3 linked regions of the Drosophila melanogaster genome follow. The protein of the gene in region 1 interacts with the protein of each later gene in a pairwise test. Each region holds a gene or a part of one and is shown in the gene's direction. Other genes may lie near its edges.

The links.
Region 2: the proteins of C1GalTA (region 1) and Neurochondrin interact in a two-hybrid assay, tested with the Drosophila melanogaster proteins (one large-scale study listed by BioGRID).
Region 3: the proteins of C1GalTA (region 1) and MAGE interact in a two-hybrid assay, tested with the Drosophila melanogaster proteins (one large-scale study listed by BioGRID).

The regions. Positions count from the first base shown.
Region 1 is NT_033779.5:8,947,579-8,953,401, reverse strand, and holds the start of C1GalTA (core 1 galactosyltransferase A), read left to right. Parts: upstream 1-2,185; 5' UTR 2,186-2,424; exon of another isoform or gene 2,425-2,632; intron 2,633-5,530; exon of another isoform or gene 5,531-5,823. UniProt on the Drosophila melanogaster protein: Glycosyltransferase that generates the core 1 O-glycan Gal-beta1-3GalNAc-alpha1-Ser/Thr (T antigen), which is a precursor for many extended O-glycans in glycoproteins.
Region 2 is NT_033777.3:6,466,240-6,471,816, forward strand, and holds Neurochondrin (neurochondrin), read left to right. Parts: upstream 1-2,197; 5' UTR 2,198-2,433; coding exon 2,434-4,605; 3' UTR 4,606-4,777; downstream 4,778-5,577. UniProt on the Drosophila melanogaster protein: Strongly up-regulated in Mhc mutants suggesting a role in muscle function.
Region 3 is NT_033777.3:7,153,438-7,157,768, reverse strand, and holds MAGE (MAGE), read left to right. Parts: upstream 1-2,588; 5' UTR 2,589-2,704; coding exon 2,705-3,403; 3' UTR 3,404-3,531; downstream 3,532-4,331. Other genes in the region: Sas-4 (spindle assembly abnormal 4), read right to left, coding at 3,605-4,331.

The DNA.
Region 1 (5,823 bases):
GTTTTAGGAGAGAAAAAAAATTTTGTTGATTCTAGTTATTTTAGATTAATTTGCACACCACTCAAAGCTAATTTGCCGATCATTTGTGTGAGTCTTTTCCTAATTTGGCCACGGGAGTAATGCAAATATTTACATAAAATTCATGTACACATACATGCCTGGAAGAAATGAAATAACATTTTCATTAAAAATGAATAAATTTACTGTCTAGTCTTTTAGTTCATACACTCAATTGAGCAGCGTAAACAAAGTGCCTTGGATTATCCGATTAACATAGTTGCATTAGATTAAGTTATAAAAGAAAATAATAAAATAGTAAAAACAGTATTCAGTAAAAAAAAAATTATTTTTAAAGAAGGGAAAAAAAATGAAAAAAAAACATCATTCAAATTTAGCAGATCGTTGGGAACGTCAGCAAATGAAAGCTGATTGCTACGAATCTAATGTTGATCTACACTGTATATACTTGTGGTTGTGTAGATAATGTGTAAGATTACAGTAAAAAAAATAAAGTCAGTCAGCGATTTTTATACCCGTTACTCGTAGCTTAAGAGGGTATTCTCGACTTGTTGAAAAGGGTGTAACGGATCTTGACACGCGGCATTTTTATTTCGAAACATCACGCCGACACTTTTAAAACATTTTTTTTGAGTAACGGGTATCTGGTAGTCACGAAACTCGACTGTAGCGTTTAAAAAACTCCTGAACTCTCATTCGTTGCTCACTAATTAGAAGACAGAATTTGCCCTTATCAGAGTTGTCAGATAATGCTAACAAGAAATACTATCTTATCTGAAGTGATCGATTGCAAAAAGTTATATGAACTCATTAACCAGCCCCACATCAATAAATATTTATTAAAGGCATTCGTCACCAATTGCATTAATTTCGATTTCTGGGTTTAAAAATATTTAACGTATATTCACTAATTTTGGCTGACAACATGGAGTTACCTTAATAAATTTTCAAGTAGTCTATGTTCAGGTTTCGAATATGAAGTATTAGAAGTCTTTAGCATCACAGAAGCCGGTTGTTAATGTACAATAGATAACGAATCAAACAAAAACGTTTCTTAACGAGTTTGCGCGTATACATAACTTGTTTAATTACAGTTGCGATATCGCAAATTTTTAACGTACAATGCAAAAAATTTCTTGCATTCAAATTTGATGTTAGTTATATTTTCTAATAACGGTTTTGGACAACTATTTTTATAGCTTGTGAAATCTTACTAGAAAAAAAAAAAAAAAAAATACAAAAATCTTATATTTTTAAACGGGGTTTTCTCTATAACTTGGTAAAAAAAAGGTGGCACATCTAACGAAAAAAAACACTGTTTTATACTGCTCATAAGCATACCTAACTATCCCTATCATAATTTTAATGATTTTCAAAAATCAAAATTTGAACAAGTTTTCGGTAATTTTATATTCTTTCCTTTCTAGATTGTGATTTTTGGAGATATTTCAGACGTACAATTATCAATTTATATATTATGCACATATATTTGTATTCATTCTTTGAGAAAGTAATATTCGAAAGAGTGGACACAAATCTTAGAACCAACCCCAAAAACAAACCCTTAAGATAGTTTCCAACAGCTGTTTTGCCAAATATATGGTGACTAGTAGCGAGTGATGAGAGAAACAGGCCATTGATAAATCGAAGTCACACCACTTATATATACAAACTACATATCTTACCTATAATATTTTAGTTTAATAGAAGTTTTTTTTATAATTTTCAAATCACTCTCGCTCTTTATAGAAAGCCGGTACCGGTTTACACCCCCTTTCCGACACAAGCATATAAAAAGAACAGCGAGAGAGAGAGAGAGTGAGCTTTGGTTCTCTCACTTAATTCTGTTGATTGCACAGGTAGAAACAAATAACTTGTATACTGCGATATTTAAATTTATTTGTTTTTGTACTAATTTGTACTATATTCTGGTTAAATATGAAATAGTTAAAAATACTTATTGGGAACTGATATTTTAAATAATATATTTAATAATACTTGGTGTAATTAAATTCAAATTTTTTACTTTTATTGCACTAGACAGCAATAATAGCTTATGTTTCAACTTCGATCATAATCATAAATTTTTTTAATTTACAACTTTCAACATTTTCTTGCCAGTGTACTCTGTTCTCTTCGTTCTCGCTCGTGCTCAGTTTTAGAATTCGCGGCAGTTGTTTTTGTTTGTCCGGCGCGTTCGCTTGCTTCACTTATGCGCTTGTTGAAAATCAAGGAAAGGGCGCGGAAAATAAGTTTAATTAAATATTTCGAGTGGCTCGACTAACACAGCAATTAAGCGAATGTGCAAAACGTGAAAGCAGTTGTGAATAAAACGCACTCATCGCGAAATTAAAAGCTTTTTGGGAGCGTCCTGCGATGGAGAAACGCGTGAGGAAAAATCAATTCGTAAGTAAATGGGCGACGCGAAAAACGGTGATTTAAAAATCAAATGAAATGAAACGCGTGCGGAATTTACCTGAACGGAAAACTAATCGGTCAGCAAAAATTGCGTTTTGTGCCAAAACAGAAAGCGCAATAAATATAATATACAATTGCGCATATGGTGTATGTACATAGAGTGCAAGAAGAACGTGACAAGGAAGAGCAAACGAAGGTGAAGAGTGTGAATAAAACCAAAACAATAAGAACGAACAAGTTTAAGCCACTGTTACGGCAAGTAACGCACGAGAATATACATATGTACATATATTGGTTTCCAACTGGAAACTGAAATTGACTAGAAGGAAGTGGAAGGAAGAATTGCCTGACGGCCTTTCCTTCCAGTCCGGCCACTCACACTACCAAAGCCCCTTGCTGCAGGATGTTAAAATAAAGCTAATGAAGAAAAGAATTGAGAACAGTATAAAAAAAATAGCTAAACTCTTGGGTCCCCATTCCTAAAATATTTGTAAACTCTGATCCTATGCCTAAAAATTATAAAATCAATGCAAAAAGTTTAAATTATAAGGTACAGCATTTATTAAATTTAACGTTCTGTTCCAAGTGTGTTTGAGGCATTTAAGGCGACAACTCTAATATGTTATCTGTTTGAGGGTCGTTGGTCTTGAGTATTTTTAATAACCCGCTAAACACAAAGGAATATGTTGATAACTAGGCGAGAAGTGGCTTCCCAATTCGTGATGTCTTATCCTGGTGGTTGTTGTTGTCTCTGTTAATGTAATGACATTCCCCAAACAGCTGCATTTTGGTTTCTCGCTCTCCGGCTCTCTTCAGTTGTCATTTCCGTTATGCCCTGCCATGCACTCAGCCCTCCCCCTCTATTCCCTTTTGCATCCGGGGGGTGAATTAACTGCAGCCGAAACGCATTTACTTTAATTTATTTGTGGTTCCAGTGGGCGTCACTTTCTCTCCCTCTCATTTTTATCTCGACAGAGAGAGAGAGAGCAGCACATGCTATTGTGCGTGCATTTGTATTTGTATTTCTCGTCTCTGCTCTCTGATTAGCCTTCTCTTGTTATTGTTGCGGGGATAATTCATATGCAGATTGCACCTAGTGATTGCCATTCAAATTCAACTGATAGTGGAAGCTGGAACTTGTACTATAAACATACATATGGTTCTTCCTGCTTCAAGTAAAAAAACAGTAGCCATTTCCATCAGTCATCAAAGTAATGAACTCTCCTTGCAACATATGGGACTGAATAAGAATAGTACTTTATGCTACTTTTAGCATGTTTTCGTTTTCCAGAAGAGAACTACCTAGTAAATGAGTTTTAATAATTATGAATGACTCTAAAAGACTGATCCTTAAAGAGCTCCTTACTTAATGTATTATTACATTATTTTTAAAAATATTCAATACCAAGTCAAATAGTTTTTAATGTATTATTTCTTGTATTGGGTGTATTTGTTCTTAAATGTGTGTTATTTCGTAAAGCCAAAAATCTGAATTTGAATAGACTAACCCAATAACCTTAAACCAGCTGTGCCATGCCCCGCGGGCTATACTATAGAATATTGTTCAATGGCCCCAAAAAGGTGCCATTTCACGTGAGATTCAGGTGAATAGCGCTATACCTATTCATTAATCAGCAATCAATTATCTATCAGCAAAGCCTTTTAATCAATATTTAATTAAGAACTCACATTCCGACTTTTCTTCTTATACATTGCTTTTGTCGATGTCGTTTGAACAACAGAGTAATAGATATTGTTCATTGGGACAGAAAATAATAGTTACTTGAGAACTCTTATAGATAAGCTCTCCGTAAAGTATACAAAATTTTAAGGAATGGAATTCTTTAAGGTTGAACTAATGGCATAATCACTTTTCTCATTCGTTCGTTATATGAATCATATTAATATTTCCATTTTCATTTGCTGTATTGTACTATTACACGATGAACAAAGAAACAGAGTTTTAAAAACGAATGCCATGTTTTTTTTTTGTGCCTGATAACAATTCCGCAGTCCAGTTCCACTTTGATAAACAGCTGCCGACATCATTGTGCCAGTCCTTACTGTATTGTTTATCTGAAAGGGAAGTTACTGAAAGTGAATTGAAATAAAACGAGAATCATAGAGCCAAAACATTAAGTACAGGGTACTTTGCTTATACGGGCTCCAAAAATAAAATACAATAACTGAATTAAAATATTTGCGGGATCGCAGAGCGTGGCTGATTTTATTGACCGCAGATGAAAAGCGGCCAAACAAAACAATTGTACAATTGGTTTGGTTTCTGGTTTTAGTTTGTCTTTCTGGCCCATTCTGTTTTTACATTTTTTTTTTTAAATTACGATGAATGGACTGTCACGCTAGTCTGAGTATAGGGCAGCAAAAAAGCAAAAGGCACTCTATTAACTGAATGACATAATAATAAATTTAGTTTAGCTTAATTTCTATTAACAGGTGCTCCATTACGCGCTCTCGATGAATTAGTTAAGAACTAGATTATTATTATTATTATACATATATAGTGAATAAGAATTTAAGCTACATAAGTTGACTTTTGGGAAAACTTAACTACAATATTAAGCTGGTTTTGAAAAACCCATAAATATAGTTATGCTTATCTATTTGAGTTATGATGAGGTAAACGTTTTATGTCAAGGGTTCTACACACACACATTGAGGGAATTTTTTAAGCTTTACAATGCCACAAAATATTTTTTTTTATTATCTGTGCAAGGTACTACATCTTTGACGAGACAAACTGGTGTTATAATGTTTTATTATCTTTGGCTTTATCTGAGTACGCCACAAACACCGAAATTTCAAAGATAACAACTAAAATACGTAATAGCACGAATAAAGCTAATCACCATGGATATCAAATAGATCACTGAAATAGAATTGCCAGACAGTATGAATTATATACACGTTCATATTCGTGCTACCGAACAGTATGTGATTATATAATTTTCTTTTTTGCTCGACAAGTAATTTTTCAATTGGCCGCTGCAGTGCATGGGAATAGTTTTTGGATCGGCAATGGATCTAATATTAGAACATTTGTAAATACAATATTTGCCACGATTCGCAAACTTTTGTTTGTTATTCACTCCACGCAAATCGGGCATCCCAAAGGCGTTCGAATCTGATCAGTAGACTACAATGATAAGCAAATACGCGGTTAAATTGCGTTTAATTGCTATTGTACATTAGATTGGAGCGGCGATGTCGGTCTGACATGTTGTTCATGCTTAAATTTAATTAATTTGCAAATTACAATTGCAATTGCAAAGCGCCAAGCAAGTCGGGCAAACACACTGGTCTCTGATGTGCCACCCACACAACCTAGCATTGCATTCCCAGTTTACAATTGATAATTGCTGGGCTCAG
Region 2 (5,577 bases), on another chromosome or scaffold:
TCCTCCTTTCCGATTTTGGTCCACCTTGTGTGAGCTCTCTGCCAGTCAGTCCGGTTCCCAGCATCGTTTGTCAAGCGATTTATTTCAATTATTGATGTTGATGTTGCCTCTTCCTGGTTATGTACCGAGCTAGATAAGCCAGCAGTGGTGTGGCCGAGCAAGTTGCCAGTTTGTGGGACACTTTTCACTGTAGTTCACTGCCCTGTTTCCACATTAAAAGTGTCTTTTCACCGCCGCCTTGAAGTAGGCAACTGGAGTGTGGCAATCGAATCATCCACACAAGAGTGCAGATGGGCCAGCATATTTCCGTTTATAATTATTATTATAACAATGGCCGGGGATTTGGCCGGTACATAATTAGTGAAATGTAAAAATTAATCAATTTCGTTATAACGCAATTATTGAAATTGCTAGCAACGCAATTAAGCCGCGTTTGCCCAAAAACGGTCAACAGACCACATTCAACGACCACTTGGCCCATGTCGCTGGCAGGACCGCCAATGTAATAATAGCAAAGGCAAACAGCAGCGATATGGGATCCGATTTGGATCCAATGCGGGTCGAGTGCTGGTGCATCCGCATCCATATGTGGACTATAATATATATGTACATATACATATATGTAGATATATACATATGTATATATGCATACATGTTCTGGCAACTAGAATCAAGCAGGGCTTCCCTGGTTCAGACAAATTTGCATTTTGTGTGATAGTAAATAGTCCAGAATGGATAAAGTTTTTCATTTGCATTATGACCAATGGCGCCCGAATAACCGACTTTTCCGCGCTAAAGATTTAATGGCTATATGTATGTGCATGGGGAGACCGGAAAATGTCAAGAGATTTCTCTCGCCATTGAGCAGAATTCCGTAATTTTGTCAGATTCTATGGCTCATTAGCAAATAAATATCTAAAAATTTTGCTAAGGAAATTAAATGCCGTGAGAATAAATAGACGCATGATGTCTTTTTCGGCTACGTTGTCAGTGTAAGAACAGTTGTATATAGAACAGCTGTTTTTCTCTTTTGCACAAAAACATGTAGATATATAATTATTCATAATAATGAATACATTTTTCGATTGTATATGACTAATTATAACTATAATTGGTATTCGACTAACGTTGATGCATAAATGTGTGTCATTTGGTGGGCATAAATATACAATAAATCAGCATGTGTACATTTAAAAATAACTATATTTTGAAATTAATGTCATACAAATAAATTTAATTTTAAACAAAGTGCAATGTGCAATTAAATTCATTGACCCCAGAGTGAAAAGCAGAAAGCATTGCACTTAAATTAAATATGCAAATTTTCGATCCACATACGCGTAAAACAATGTGTCTATATAACTAAGTTAATGTATAAATTATGCGTATAAAAATATGTGTATTTTGTTTGCTGTAGCACGCTCCACGGAGTGGTTTATTTAAATGTCTGGACATTGATGCCGACACACCTATATTTATTTCAGATACACACATATATATATATATATATATATGAAATAAATACATATATTTCAATGGATATTTGTGGCCACATACGCTGCGGAGAATGCGAACACGTATTCAAAATATTCTGGAAGAAATGCAGCCGGCAGCGAACATTTCACAGTTGACTAAAATGTAAACACGAAGAAGTCGGAAAAAAGGAAAATCATTTTCTAAATATATACAACGGTGCTCCGAAGAGCGCAATGCGGGAGGAAAATGAGCGAGAGTGGAAAAGCGGTGTGAAAAGCCGAGAACAAAGAGCAATGCATTGGTCATTCGTTTGATTTCAAGTGATTTTCAAATTCTATAGGCTGAAGTCATAAAAAAGCTTTTGCTAAGAATTGAATACCCTTCCTAAGCAATATGAATTCATTTTAATTGATCACTACTATCGATAAAAATCTAAATCTAATTAAAAACCCAAATCACCACACTTGACCATGAAAATTGTAATAAATTTAACCAAATACAAACATCATTATCTAATGGACAGTCAAACCATTTTATATAAACAATCTTCAATTAGGTCACAAGACTTGTAGACATTCCCCAATCCATGATCCCTGCCTGAGTAGTAGGGTGTAGAATCCGTGTATAAATAAATTGTGTGTAGGTTTTCCCGTTTGAACGGCAACAGCTGCATAGCTTTTGGAAAATTGGGAAAGCCACTCGCGAGTTTTCCGCTGGCGACGATCAGTGTGCGAGAGTGCGTCGACGAGCGAGGACACAGAACCAGAAGCCAAGAAAATCAGCGGAAAACGTATCCGGCGGGAGAAGAACCAACGGGAAAGCTGCAGCCAAGTGAAAGTGTGGGGAGATATTAATAGAAGGCCACGTCGCACACATATATCCGAGCAGCGGATAAATATACAGACCGTTCATAGGCGGTCCGTGAGATACACACCCGGAGGAGAGACGGAAACCAGGATGACGGACGTGCCGGAGCCCGTGCGCAAGTGCGCCAGCCTGTTGAAGGGCACGAAGAGCGACACTGAAAAATTCGCCGCCCTCTTTATGGTCACCAAGCTGGTCAAGGGCAAGGACTGCAATGCGGCGGGCAAGAAGCTGCTGTTCGAGGCCATAGGGTTTCCCTTCCTCAAGAAGCTGCTAGTGTCCAAGGATCTGCCCAACGATTGTCCGCCGTTAGTTTACAAGAGTGTAGCTCTCTCGATCCTCACGTGCTTTTGCCAGGAGGAGGAGTTAGCCACCCATAAGGACATCATCGACGCCATACCCACGCTCCTGGAAATCGTTGAGCAGGCCGATGACGAGGACTACGAGGATAACCTAATCGTGGTCAGCGAGGCGTATAGTTGCCTCAAGAGCATCGCCAGCCATGAGCCAGGCCAGCAGGCCCTTCTGGCCACCGGAGCCATCCCCAAGATGTCGCAGATATACTCCGCCCAGAGTTTCCAGACCGATGAGGCCTTGCACCTGATCGTGCTGCTTGTTAAGCAGTTTGGAGTGGTATCATGGCCCGAGGATCCCACTGCCTTCCATGCTCTGATCCAGAGGATCGCTTTGGACATGGAAACCGATGACACGGAGAGAAAGTACGAGCTCTGCCGTATCTTGGCTGATATCCTTATTACCTGCCGTCGTGAGATTGTGATTAATTCTCTGGAGGGTCAGATCTGGCCGGAGAGCTTGTTCAAGGGCTGTGGAGATATTCTGAAGGCCAAGATTGGCCCCAAGCAAAGGGATCCTGCACTGCATCTAATAGCCACCACCTTGCATGTGCTGGGCATCCAATGGGCCTTCATGGACGAGCAGAAGACTTTCTTCCTGCAGCTCCTCCAACTGGGAGCTATCGAGGTGCGCATGCAAATGGATGAGAAAAAACTGGAAACCACCTTCAAGCAGGCGGAGCTGCTCACCTGCTGCTTCTCCATTCTGGAGCATTGCATTGAGTATATGGCTACGGATCAGCTGGATCTAGAGCCCAAGGAGAAACAGACCACTTACACCGCTCTCAAGGGCGCCTTCAACCAGGTTCTGGCGGTTTTGACCCGTGTTAGCCAGGACAAGATCAGGGAAAGCTCTAATCCCAAAGATAAGAAGTTTGTGTTTGCCATCGTGAAAGTTCTGTCCGCCTGGCTAGCCCAGGAGACAACGGCCATGAGACCGGCCATCTACAAGCTTCTGCCCTTCATGCTCAAGGTGGCCAACGAGAGTTTCCAGGAGCTAAAGACCTGGAGGGCAGGAACTAGGGAGGGCGAACCACCCATCGATGTTCTGCGGATCATGCTTCCGGCTCTCTGCCATTTCGCAGTGGAGGAGGAGGCCAGGAGAGTGCTCTTCACCCATAAGCAGGATGAAGTGCTGCTGGAATCCTTGGAGTTCTACTTCAGCATTGCCCATTGGAAGAGGCCGCCAATACCGCGCGCTGAGCGTTTGAAGCGCATGAATGAGCCCGATCCGGTTCCGACTCCGGAGCAGCAGGCGGAGATGAAGGTGGCCAGAAGTGCCATAGTGGCGCTCTGCAACATTTTGATGAACTTCACCGTCTTGGAGCCGAAGAAGGCTGAGGATGGACCGACTTTCGCCAATCTGCTGAAGTTCGTGGTGGAGAATCTACCCGAACTGAAGGATACGCCCGATAACCTGGTCATCCACGGAAACCTGGCTGTGCTGGGCCTTCTACTGCTTAAGCAGCAGTCCAAGAAGGTGAAGCAGAATGACTTCTCCATCTGTCGCTACATCCAGGCCACCATCCGCTTCCTCTGGGATGCCTACAACATCGATGAGAGCAACGATCCCACCGCTCTGGTGGTGTCCATTGCCTACAAGGGCTACTGGTCGGATCTGTCGGAGCTCTGGTTCCTGGGAATGCAGACCATGTGCGGCGTGCTACCCCTGGTGCCATGGCTCTCCGAGTTCGCCCTGGAGTCCGGCTGGGCAGAGGGCATTGTGAAGACCCTGAAAAAGGTCAAGATCGGCACCCTGCCGGCTAACGTTAAATCCGCGTACGAGGACTTCCTGTCCCAACTGGTGGACGTGAACGGCGATGTCCAGGCCGTGCTCAAGAAGGCCGATGCTCTGCGGGTCTGCCGCAATCACAGGATGATGGATCTGGGCAAGAAGCTCTTCGGCGACTAAGCCAAGCAAGGCACTCACTGTTTCTCTAGAGGCATTTTTTGTGTGTGATTTGTGCGCCAGCGAAAAATGGAAAATATTTTGTATGGATTATATTCTATTTTATATGCTCTATTTTAATGACTAAATACCTAAATTTATAAAAAAAAAAATAATAAACCAATTTTAAAAACACATCCGGATATAAATTTCGTTTTTCAGTTTTGGCTTCTCTCATCAAAATGTTTTGCCATTCATTCGTTCTCGTTTTCGTTTGTTCGGGCCAACTCAGCGGAATTAGTTGAAACTTTTGCTTGTTTTCATTCTTGTTGTTCGCTTTATTTTCGAACAAAAGCAATATGGTACGGCCAAAACACGTCACATTCGTATATATACGATATGCTGCGGAGTGAAAATAAAACACTAGCGTTAAACAACGATGACGAGTGCAAAGGCTGACCGAAAATAATACTAATAATAAGTGAAATTTAATTAAAAACATGCAGCTAAACTTTTTGTTCGCATCGGAATGGAACGGAAGCGGCGAATTAATAATGTGCTGACGTGAAGTGACAACTTTTTTGGTCAACAATTGTGGAGCGGGAAATGCATGTAACATTTCGGAGGACAACATGCCCTTTGTGCCGTGGGATGAGATATGCAGATAAACCAACATAATTTTGCAAAATTAAACATTGAAGGAAAACATCGATTTCGGTAATAAACTTCGTACGCGAGTTTTTATTTTTTCAGTAAAGTAATTAAAATGAAAGCATTTTAGTTTATTAGAACGGGCTTTATTAGCTGAGCACAGTTAATTAAATTAGATATTGCAAACTATCAAAACACGGTTGAATATTTGTTTATTTTCCCCAAAATCACTGCTTCTGACATTTTGAAGGCTTTAATCAACGTGAAAGGCTTTTTAATTAGCAAGAGTTTTTTTTCCAATTTAGTTGATTTCAGCCTGCAGTAATAAGGAAGTGCACATCCTTC
Region 3 (4,331 bases), on another chromosome or scaffold:
TCGATGTCGTCACACGGTGCGTATACGCGATTAGGCATGCACGAGTGAACTTGGCCCCCAAGTGAAGTCAATTCACTGATCATTTGTTCGACTTTAATTGCGACGATTGTTGCAGCCATTTGGCAAACTATCTGATAAGCGTTTAATTTGATTATCAGTGGCCGGCGTCTAGTTTGCATCGAAATTTATTAAGTGTAAAAGGTCAAATAGCAGCTTCGTTTTGATCCATGGCCTGAGTTTAGCAATTTGACCTCTTAATTAAGCCGAACAAGTTTGTTGTCCAAGTCTTTTATTTGAGAACTAAACTCTACTCGCTCACAGCTACGTTCAGCTTAGCGCGCTTTTGTAATTGTGAGCCCCATTGACATTTAGCGGATAGCTGAGTCGTTCTGAGAGAGGAGCAAATCATAATCTAATCGAAGTGCCGGTCCCGGGCCAAAGCTGATCAGCCAGATCGACCACGAGCGGCAGCTGCTGGACAAGAATGCCGAACCGCTCCGCTGAAGGCAGTCCACTTTTAAGAACGGCACGCAACCAGACTGAGGCAACAACAGCCGGCTATTGTTTCTATATTCTCGATTCCATTCCATTGCGACCGAAACGGGGTTATCTGCTCACTGAAAGAGGTTGTAAGAACAAACTTATATACTTGTATAGGGAAATAAAACATTCGATTTGCTGAAGAATAAATTAAAATATTTTTAGCCAGAGAAGCTGGGAACATGAAAAGAAGGAATCTTTAAAAAACTACAAGATAAGAGATTTATGTTTGCGAAACTATGCCATTTATCAGCGTTTTTCTTATCAAAACGAAAGACTAATTTGAATGTTTGCAACACATTTTTTTAAAATACAACTTTAAGAATATCAAAAGATGTATTTATATTAGCGTAATTTCCATTTAATGGTGCCTTCCATTTTTCTGAATTTTAAATGTAATATTATTTATTCATTTTTCACTTTTTATTTTCATTCATATTATTTTCGCAATAAAAAACTTTTAGCTCCTTAAGATATTCGAAATGATAAATCTCAAAGAGCAAGCCACTTAAAAACAATTAATCCCGATCATATAGAGCATTAAACTCCACACATTCCTCATTCCAATATTGGCTTTCTTTTTTGTGCACACATTTTTTGTCTGCTGCCTCTTGTGATTCTGTTATTAATTTATTAATAGTTTTTGCCACCGCGGTGAGCTGCGAAACCCGTTGTCGTTACTCTATTGGCTGGTCATGGGATTTTGTTTATCATGAAAATTCTAAATGGCATGCTCATGTCATTTGCTAATTTTTAATGGCCTTTAAAAGCCAGGCTGCATAGCAAGTTTGCCGCTCACGTCGCTCAGCAAAGACCTTGACTTTCTTTTTAGTAAATGAGACATTTCTCCAACACCGTCTGGCTACAATTAGCCGGCCATAAAAAAACTTTAGGGCTGGAGTTGACAAACTCCAACGTTACAATGCGCATTTTGAAAGCAAAACTGTTTGCTTGTGTGTAGAAAGTCTAACGCTTCGCGTTGACAGTGCGTTTTGTTGACTCACTCAGCCGCCGTTTTGCGAGATTTACAATCTTGAGTAATTTCACTTGCTGGGATGCAAATTTCGGTGCTATTACAGTCACTGGTCAAGCAGAATCAATTGCAGAACGCGGCGGATATCCATTTCAGGCGGCCACAAAGGCTGTCTTTAACAATCTGAACTCCGATATTCTGCTTTTGTTCAAGCCGGAACAATGGCGAATCAATTAAAGCTTGCCGCCTGGCCAGGCAACTTTTGTCTGCCTTCCGCCTGTACATTTATCACTTATGGATCGCGCACTTTGCGCAGACGCAGGTAACTAGTTTTCACCGCAGAGATACAGCCACCGCCATCGCCACCTAAAACACACATTTCAAGGCAATAAAATATGTTTGGCCATGTAATTCTGCAGCGTCTGGAAGTGCACTTCGGCGCGTGTGTCTGCTGCGCGAAATGCATTTCCATTTCCATTTCGTTTTGTTTGACTCGGTCTCTGTTTATTTTGAGTCTCCGTGGGGAATGTTGACCGTGCATGTCATTCGCGTTTAGTTTTGAAAGTTGTTTGCTTCCTGCTGCTGCACGTCGCGTCGTTTTGGCCATTTTAATTAAAAACACATCACCTCCTGAGGCTGCTATGGCAATTTTTATGCAAAGTGCGTTACCCACTGCTTAGCTGCTCGATAAATGCTCGAATGATATTTATTTAGCAAACGTTTCGCTGCAGCGCAAATTTCATACTGATTGTTAAATGTAACAGAGGAAAAAGGCGGCAGCAAAAGGAAATCAATCAATACAAACCCACAAGAGTAGGTACTTCAGCGGCTCTTGGCCCAGTTTGTGCGTTCAAACGAGACCAATGAGTGGCCATTTGCACTTGAAAGTGCATATAATAGGCAACCAAGTGAAAAAGGATGCGAGAGAAAAGGATTGGTAAAGACCATAATAAGGGTTCGAAGATTTTATTGTCAGAGTAATGATTTTGAATTAATATAATTTGCGCGCCCATTTGGTATTTTAATACTGAAAACAGGTCTCGTTTTTTAACTCTGATCTGGCAACGCCAGGCTTGTACACTTTCAAAAGTGCGAAAAAAAACATATGTTCGCTGCATTCTTGTTGAGTTGCATTTTAAATAATCAAATAAATTTGATAAATTGGGAGCTTGTTAATCAAATTAACTCGAAATGGCTAGCACTTCTCGCGCAGCTAGGAGCCAGAATGCCATCCCCTCGCAGGAAGCGCAACAACCCGTCGATGTGGTCGACGCCAAGGTTCGCGCCATTCTAAACTACATCCTTGATCATACCGCCCAGAAGATTCCCATAAAGGACAAGGATTTGATAGCGGTGGCTGGGGACAAGAGCGAACTGAAGAAACGCCTGCCGCTGGTCACTAATCTGCTGGCCGAAACATTCGGTATAATACTAACCCCACTGGACGCGACCACCAAGACGTTCATCTGCACTGCGGAGGAGCCGGTGGCCTCCATTCACGAGCTGACGCCGGCTCAACGGCCGCAGTTCACGCTGCTGTATATTATTCTCATGTACATCTTCCTGCGCGGCAACCGCATCGAGGACTCGAAACTGTACGTTATGCTGGAGATGCTCAACATCTATCCAGACGAAGAACATGGCTACTTCGGCCCCAATCTGCGCAAACAGATCGAGGAGACGTTTGTGAAGCAACAATATCTGAAGCGGGAACGCTCACAGCTAAGTGCTTACGATGATTCCAAGACTTTCTTCCTTTGGGGACCACGTGCCAAGGCGGAGTTCACATTCGAGCAAATGGTGCAATTCGCCTCCAAGCTGCTCAATCAGCATCCCAAGGTCTTCGGCCATCACCTCTCCATGGCCCAAGAAGGAGTAAACGCGGAGTAGAATACCATTCTATGAATAATTTACTACATTTGATCTAACAAATTGAAAACCAAACAATATATATAATAATCTAAAATAGAGCCAATTTCCCATTTATCAGCAAGAAAAGAATATTACGATGATCTTTTAAAAATAGCACGTCTTTTCTATTTATCTAAAACTTAAGTTAATTTACTTAACAACGGAAGCAGAGACCCGACTCTAATACTTGGCATAGTCTGTGTCCATTATGAGCTTGCCATCCTTGTCCTTCAAACGAACGCGGCCGTTGGAGTAGCGCGTCTCTTGGCTGCCATCCGGATACACTAGCTTCACAGTGCCGTCCGGATACTCCCTTCGCTTGTTTAGTTTGGTGTGAATCTCCTTTTGGCCATTGGGCAGATTGAGAATCTTGTCACCATTCCGGAGCTGCACTAGATGGGTTCCATCCGCATAACGCCACTCCTCCAGTTTCTCCGTATCGCTGGGATCCACAATCTTAATGCTGTTGTTGGGAAAGTGAATCTCAACAGTGCCATCCTTGCGGCGATGTTCCGTCTGCCCGTTGGGAAACTCGAGTATTTCCAAGCCATCTAGGTAGGAGGTGTGCCAAGTGTTGGTCTCAGCGTAGTAATACTTCACTGTGCCTTCCCTGATGTTAGTTTCCTTGATATCCTTGTTGAAATAGAGCATGCGCAAGTTCATGCCATCGGCGCTTATCTTTTTTAGATTGCCGTTTGGGTACCAAATGTCCTTGCTCCCATCCGCATTCGTAATCTCCCGCTTAAAGTCACTGCTGGAGTTGGCAGCCGGTGGGGGGGTAGCAGCTTTCGGAGCGGTCACGGGCGGCTGAACTTCCTCCGATTCCACAGAACTACTAGAGGCGTAGCTCTCATCCAGAGCGTATGGTGTTTTCTTATTCCTGCTCAGTGAGCGACTCCGACTTCTC